2 linked regions of the Danio rerio genome follow. The protein of the gene in region 1 interacts with the protein of each later gene in a pairwise test. Links are inferred from orthologs where the notes say so. Each region holds a gene or a part of one and is shown in the gene's direction. Other genes may lie near its edges. The genes, in order: vbp1 and pfdn4.

The links.
Region 2: the proteins of vbp1 (region 1) and pfdn4 interact in binary tests that used the Homo sapiens proteins (3 or more experiments, as listed by UniProt). The link is inferred for Danio rerio from reciprocal best matches to the Homo sapiens genes VBP1 and PFDN4.

The regions. Positions count from the first base shown.
Region 1 is NC_133182.1:23,873,421-23,875,986, reverse strand, and holds part of vbp1 (prefoldin subunit 3), read left to right. Parts: intron 1-1,802; coding exon 1,803-1,941; exon of another isoform or gene 1,942-2,298; intron 2,299-2,469; exon of another isoform or gene 2,470-2,566. UniProt on the Homo sapiens protein: Binds specifically to cytosolic chaperonin (c-CPN) and transfers target proteins to it. Binds to nascent polypeptide chain and promotes folding in an environment in which there are many competing pathways for nonnative proteins.
Region 2 is NC_133198.1:41,423,129-41,427,737, reverse strand, and holds the start of pfdn4 (prefoldin subunit 4), read left to right. Parts: upstream 1-1,549; 5' UTR 1,550-1,815; coding exon 1,816-1,842; exon of another isoform or gene 1,843-1,846; intron 1,847-3,805; coding exon 3,806-3,913; intron 3,914-3,988; coding exon 3,989-4,129; exon of another isoform or gene 4,130-4,609. UniProt on the Homo sapiens protein: Binds specifically to cytosolic chaperonin (c-CPN) and transfers target proteins to it. Binds to nascent polypeptide chain and promotes folding in an environment in which there are many competing pathways for nonnative proteins.

The DNA.
Region 1 (2,566 bases):
AAAGAAATATAACAAAACAATTTTAACTCATGAATAACCGCTCTTAACTTGCTAAAACTGATGAAAAGATAAAAAGGTCTTCAGCGCAGTGCGCCGCAGTCTTCCCTATACTGTACTGTAAAATAAAATAAATACAAAGATGATCTTTACCTCTTACCTGATGTCTTTAACAATACATTTTCAACGTGTTTGCAAAATGGAAATCGTATGACATCTTCCCTATCCACCTTACTCTGAGAAAAGAGTGAACTTGAGTAGGTAAACCTCAGTATTGTTGGGAAGGAGCCAAGGCAAAAAATAACATACAAATCAATTGAAATAAAAATATAAAAACCTCACAAAATTTCTCAACGTGGGCAAAAGTAATGCAAAATAATTTTGCCCAAACGAAAGTTAAGCAAAAACAACAAAAATCATAATCGTGTCAGAAAATGCACGAAAAACGAGATCAAAGGAAAAAGCGCTTTCTCTCCCGCTCTTCCCGACATGCTTTTTATATTCCCGCGCTTTGTCGCCAAATGATGATAGATCGGTCTCCTGACCAATCAGCTGTCATAAAGGCGGACCTACAGAAATAACCAGCATGGAGGGAGCAGGAGAGAGAAAACGGGAGGCAAAAATACAGCCGACTACAACTCTAACATTAGTTTCAGACACAACTGCAATGTATTTTACTGGTGAATATATCATGTAAAAACACTTTACAAACACATTTTATGTATATATTTTTTCATTAATTTAAACGGAAAGCTATCTATCTAACTGAAACCTTAGATAATCAAAAATGAGCATCATGTCTGTGTCTGCACAGAGATCAAGACTCTCACCTGAGAATGTGGATATTACTTTCACTAGTCTACACTGCAGTTATTTATTTAATTTTAGTTTACTTAGTTAAGATGGCTGCACTTAAGAGAATAGTTTTTTCTGACTAGTCTATATTGGAGGTGTTTAGTTAATTTTAGTTGTTTACTCTGGTATTCTGACTGTACTAAAAATGTGATGACAAACTTAATAATGAAAAAGTTAAGATGTTCTTGTTAGTAAGTGAATCTATTGTACCTTAGCATTGCTGTTAACATGACATCAACCCTAACTCCACAGCAAACAGAAACCGAACCGAACCGTACCAAACCAAACCGTGGCTTTAAAACCGTTAACCGAACCGTGCCTTTGGTGTATCATTACACCCCTAATTGTCAGGAGATTATTATTATAATTTTTTGTCCAGCTCATGAAATTTCAGCGATTTAGATTATTCCATTGGATAATGCATTATTACGATTAGGCAGTTTTAGCTCCATTTGAATTCTTTCATTCTTATAAACCGGTCACCAGACTGTATCCTTAACCAAGAATAACTTACCAGGATAATATACAATTTAAGAACTTTGGCTCCAAAATAACCACTGGGTTATTTCAAACACTGGGTGGTTAAAAAGTAGATAAAAGAAAAGCTTAATGTAATGTAATGTTTTTAAAAAAGCAGGTAAATGATGATGCTAAATGAAAATATTTTAATATTAATATTTTAACACATCAATAATCTAATATATACAAGAGCTGCCTGTTTTTGCATATATTAGATGTCATGGAAATCAAGCTTTCTAGTCAGTAAAAGTCAGGGAATTACATTAAACTTGATTACTTTTTTGCACTGTTGAACAAGGCACTCTACCTTTGGGACTGTCTGTTTAGTGAAATGTACACCCAGTTGCTTGGATATAATATTTTAACCCAGAATTGTTTAGCTTGACTTTGAAATCTTGTGTATAGCCATGGTTGGTGTTTTTGTGTGCTAGGCTAATGTCATGTTGGAGTATGACATTGATGCGGCCCAGGCGCTGTTGGAGAAAAACTTGGCCACAGCGTCCCGGAATCTGGACTCTCTGGAAGAGGATCTGGACTTCCTTAGAGATCAGTTCACAACCACTGAAGTCAGTATCCTTAAACTATTGCAAAAGGACAGATTCAGGTATTGTATTGTTATTTTTATGGTGATGTGCACCTTTCATTTGATCAGTCTTTCAATGACATAAATTGTTTAAAATAATACCTTTAAAATTATAACTTGTGAGATTAAGAGTCCCGATCCTACAACAGTTTGTCAAAGCTGTTTAAAAGTCTAGGTCGGAAATATATTTTAATTTTTTTAAAATAGAGCCTTATGGTAACAAATAAAATAAAATAATGGCAAAATAGTAATTTTTCTAAAAAATAAACCGTAAATAACAATTTCTTTGTTTTGATATATATAAAGAAATAATTAATCTAATACAATGTAAGACAATCTTCATTGTGATACGAAGGCTAAATGAAGATATTCTGCCTTATGACATTTGTATATATTTAGTGGTAACGCTTTTTTAAATGAGTTCTTTTTGAAACATTATTTTCTATTTAAAACGTTTTTTGTTTTTATTGTTGATGCTTTGGTAAATAAAATGTAAACATAAAATAAAAATTAAGTTGAACCATGGTGATATGCATAAAGGGTAAACTATTTGGAATTGACATTTTAAAGCAGTATTTGATTTGTAGGGGTCTGAGTTATAACATCTGCCTA
Region 2 (4,609 bases), on another chromosome or scaffold:
CAGCTATTGTGAAGGCACGGTCACCTCTGCATTTCAGCCTCTACTTAGGGATGCATAATAGTCTCTGATTAGATGACCGAAAGTAACATTTAAAGGCTTAACTAGGTTAATTAGGTTAACTAAGCAGGCTAGGGCAATTAGGCAAATGATGGCTAGGCTATTGTAAAATGATGGTTTGTTCTGTGTAGACTATCGGAAAAAATAACCAAAAGGGGATAATAATTGTATCCTTAAAATGGTGCTTAAAAACTTAAAACTGCTTTTATTCTAGTCAAAATAAAACAAATAAGACTTTCTCCAGAAGAAAAAATATTATCAGACATACTGTGAAAATTTCTTTGCTCTGTTAAACATCATTTGGAAAATAAAAAAAAAATAAAAATAAAAAAAAATCAAAGGGGGGCTAATAATTCTGATCTCAACTGTATAAAAATTTATTTGTTCTTAGACATGGATAAATCTAGATATAAAGGGACAAAAAAGTACATTTTAATTCAACCCATGATTTCTCATAATTCCTTTATAAATAGGCTATTAAATATTCCTCAATTGCATAGTTTGTTATTAAGTTGGCCGTGTACTGTTTAAAAATTTTGTGAGTTTAAGTTTCAAAAAATAACCTAGCCTTTAAAATTATAGTTATTTCAAATAAGAATTAGGATAATTATTTACTTTATAGCAGAGATGCAAAAACTAGGGAATGTGGGCCAAAGTTAGAACATGTTAAGCTTTGATTTGTCCCGTCATCCCATCTGAGAAGAGATGGAGAATGATGGGGATGGTTTTGAGGTTGTCAGTTTAAATTTAATGTAGCCCTTTGCTAGTTTTTATTGTTAAAAGCTAATTGAAATTAAGTGTTTCAATTAAATTGTGTAAATTAAATCAGATTTTGTTTAAATGTACACATTGTCATCTGATAATGTAGAGACTTAGGTGAGCAAATCAAGTCAAAGACTAGTGACTAGAGTATTCAGCATTGAACTTCTAAAGAGATTGTTAATTTTTATTGCAATAAATTATCAATTAAAATGTTATTCTGCATTAGTTAATAGGATTTAAAGTGATGTTTTCTATTTATTTTAAAATATTATAAAATGAATTAGGAAATTAATTATCCAAGTCAATTTAAATGTAATATAGTTTGGTATATTTGTTCATACATATTCATGGCGCGTGACGGTATTTGATTTTTGGCCCTTTATACGAAAAGTTTGGCCATCCATTGCTTTAGAGACAACTATTAGTTATTTTTGCTTTTAACTAAAAACTCGCTTCATTTAGATTTTTCTTCCAAGAAAAGCTTCTCAAAGACTTATTGCCAAGACAACGTTGTTTCTTAAGTAAACAGCTAACGTTATCTATATTAAACATACTTTAATGTTAATATTATATATTTAATAGAAAACGAAACAAAATAAGGAAAAAACGCATTTTACACTTCCATTTCCAATGTAAACACCCATATATATGATATAACATGCGAATTCGACATTTAAATCATCAAAAGTATGTTTGTGTGGGAGTAAATCTACGGTTGTCCAGAAGATGTCAGTAAGTGTTGCTAACTAAAATCCTCAAGTCTGTATGGCTGCAGCCCAAAATCCTTGCAACAGCGGATAATTTTAAGAAAACCGACTTCAAAACGCATTTAGTTAAGCCAGTAATTTAGATTCAAACATAAAACTTCATAATTTCTTTGTCAAACGTACCATATTTTCGAAGCAGCAACCGAAACACGCAACAAACACTCAAACATCCACGTGCTCCATTCAGACGCCGTTCAGGCGCGTGCACGCAGCTCGCTTCCCGTTCAAGATGGCAGCCACCATGAAGAAAGGAGTGGTATGTGTTCCCATTATCGGCTTTCTGTCTACATTCACGTTGTTTTGTTGCTCATCCCTGAGAAACGCGTTGGTGATGCTGAAATATCTAAAATATTAAACGAAAGAGACAGCTGAGGGAAACTGAGGACGGTTTATTGTTTATTTTCACCGGCTTGGATGGCTAACGTCATATTATTCGTGCCTGTCTGTTAATGAGTTTTATTGTAATTATTTACATTTACGTTCATCGTTCTGCACCAATCTATCTATCTATCTATCTATCTATCTATCTATCTATCTATCTATCTATCTATCTATCTATCTATCTATCTATCTATCTATCTATCTATCTATCTACATTTAAATTTAGGTGGTTTTAAATCACATAATTGTATTGTCATTCTTAAATATTTCTTATAGATTGACCAGATTAACAACTTGTATATTGGGTTGTTTATTTTGTTCTTTTATATAGAGTTTAGTTTACATAAAAAAGCTTTTTTTAAATGTATAAAATGCTAAGCAAACTTATATTTGTGTAAATCACATCGAGTCTAAACCACAAAGAGTCAAGATGACAGGATTCAAATCAAAGATTTATGATTTGCTTAGCATTTATATTGTAAAATTTTAAAAGTAAATCTAAAGATACAAAGAAATGCAAATAATATGCATATTTAGCAAGGCATATTTTTTGACAGAGCTTACCGAACATCCAAAACAATGCTGAGTGTTTGTGTGTGTCCATGTGATGGTAACTTCATAATTTGAGAGCTTGTGAAACGCTTATAAAAATGTGTAAAGGAGTCAAAACAATGACATGAATTCCTATTTAAATGAAGATTTCTGATGCCTGTGTTGGTTAACATAGCAACTACATTTTTGAAAAGCATTTTTGAGTATCCTGTCATTTTTAATGTTCGCATCTTTATAAAGCACATTTAAAAACAACCAAGGTGGACCCAAGGGCTGTACATAGGAGTACTAAACACAGAGACGAAATCAGAATATAAAAGAAGCATTTAGAAAATAAAACAATAAAACATTGATCAAGGAGTATTAAAGCGAGAGAAAATAGGTGTTCAAAACAGACTTAAACACAGAAATAGAGGGGGAAAGTCTAATGTGAATTGGTGGGGTGTTCCAGAGTTTAGAACCAGCAACTGCAAATGTTCAATCACCTTGTTTTTTAAGGCATGTTCTGGTTACGTAAGTTAATTGAGATCATAAGATCTCAATGATCGAGAGGAGGTATACGGATGGAGCAAGTCTGTAAGGTACTGAGGAGCAAGACTATTGACAGCTTTGTAAACAAATAATAAAATTTTAAAATCAATTCTGTATTTAATGGGTAACTAGTGAAGTGCAGCTAAAATCGGAGTTACCGACTCATACTTGCGGGTGCCAGAGATTAGTCTAGCAGCTGCATTTTGTACCAGCTGCAGACAAGAGAGAGAAGACTGAGAAATACCAAAATAGAGTGAGTTACAGTAATCCAGTGTTATGAAGGCATGGATCATTGTTTGAAAATTTCTCTGAGATAATAATGGCTTCATTTTAGACAGTTGTTAAGGTGGTAAAATCAGGTTTTTACGACAGGACTGATCTCTTTTTAATTCTTAAATTTTCTTTAATTTAAAATTTTCATCAAACATAACACCGAGACTTCTTGCACACTGGGTAATATGTGGGGCCAAAGATCGTACATTGACATTTAACAGAGATTTTACTACGTCATCATGCAATAACACCAGAATTAATTTAAATTAAATCAAACCATAATAAGTAATGCACAATGTTTAATCAAAACTACTGCTTGAATCATAACTTGAGTTTACTTCTATTTTTAAAATATATTTATTATCTGTTTTTTGTCCTGTCTCTCTCATTCTGTTGCACTGTAAAAGCTTCTGTCACGAAAATAAACTCCTCGCATGTATGAACATACCTGGCAATAAAGCTCTGATTCTGATTCTGAACAGGCAGCAGAGGATGTCAATGTAACATTTGAGGACCAGCAAAAGATAAACAAGTTTGCCAGGAACACAAATCGGATGTCTGAACTGAAAGATGAAATCGAGGCCAAAAAGGTAATATTGTGATGCTTTTGATTTATACAGGATATAAGCTGCATTTTACTGACGCATAATCTTTATTGTGCGTAGAAATCTTTACAGAACTTAGAGGATGCCAGTGATGACCTCATGATGTGTGAGGATGATTCGATGCTGATCCCGTATCAGATTGGAGACGTGTTTATCAGTCACTCGCAAGAAGAGACGCAGGAGATGCTGGAGGCAGCAAAGGTGACTTTATTTTTTTTACACACTTTATAGGGCACTCAATACAATATACAGGAAAAACTGTGGAATGTCATTGTGGGCCATTACAAAAATTTAAAACGCTTTTGACTTGAAAAAAAAAGTTGCAAATCTAGGTCAAAAAAGTTACAATAAATTGTTAGGTTTAAACACAGGCGCTTTGTTTACATTCGTTAAAATGCGTTAGTACGATTATAAGTGGACAATGGTAAATACAGATGTAAACAGAGCTTGAGCTTGTTCACTTTTGAGCACCTTCAGAGTTAGAGGAAAACATTCGATTGGATTACTTTTATAGTGTAAACCAGGGCTATTCAATTGGCGGCCTGTGACCCGAATACGGCCCCCGAGGCACTTTGTTCCGGCCCTCCAAACAGTGTGACCAAGACATCAAAAATAAATTTAGTTCAGTCGACAAACAGTCGCTATGGTTATGAAGTGGCCTGCGTGTGTTTAATAACAGCA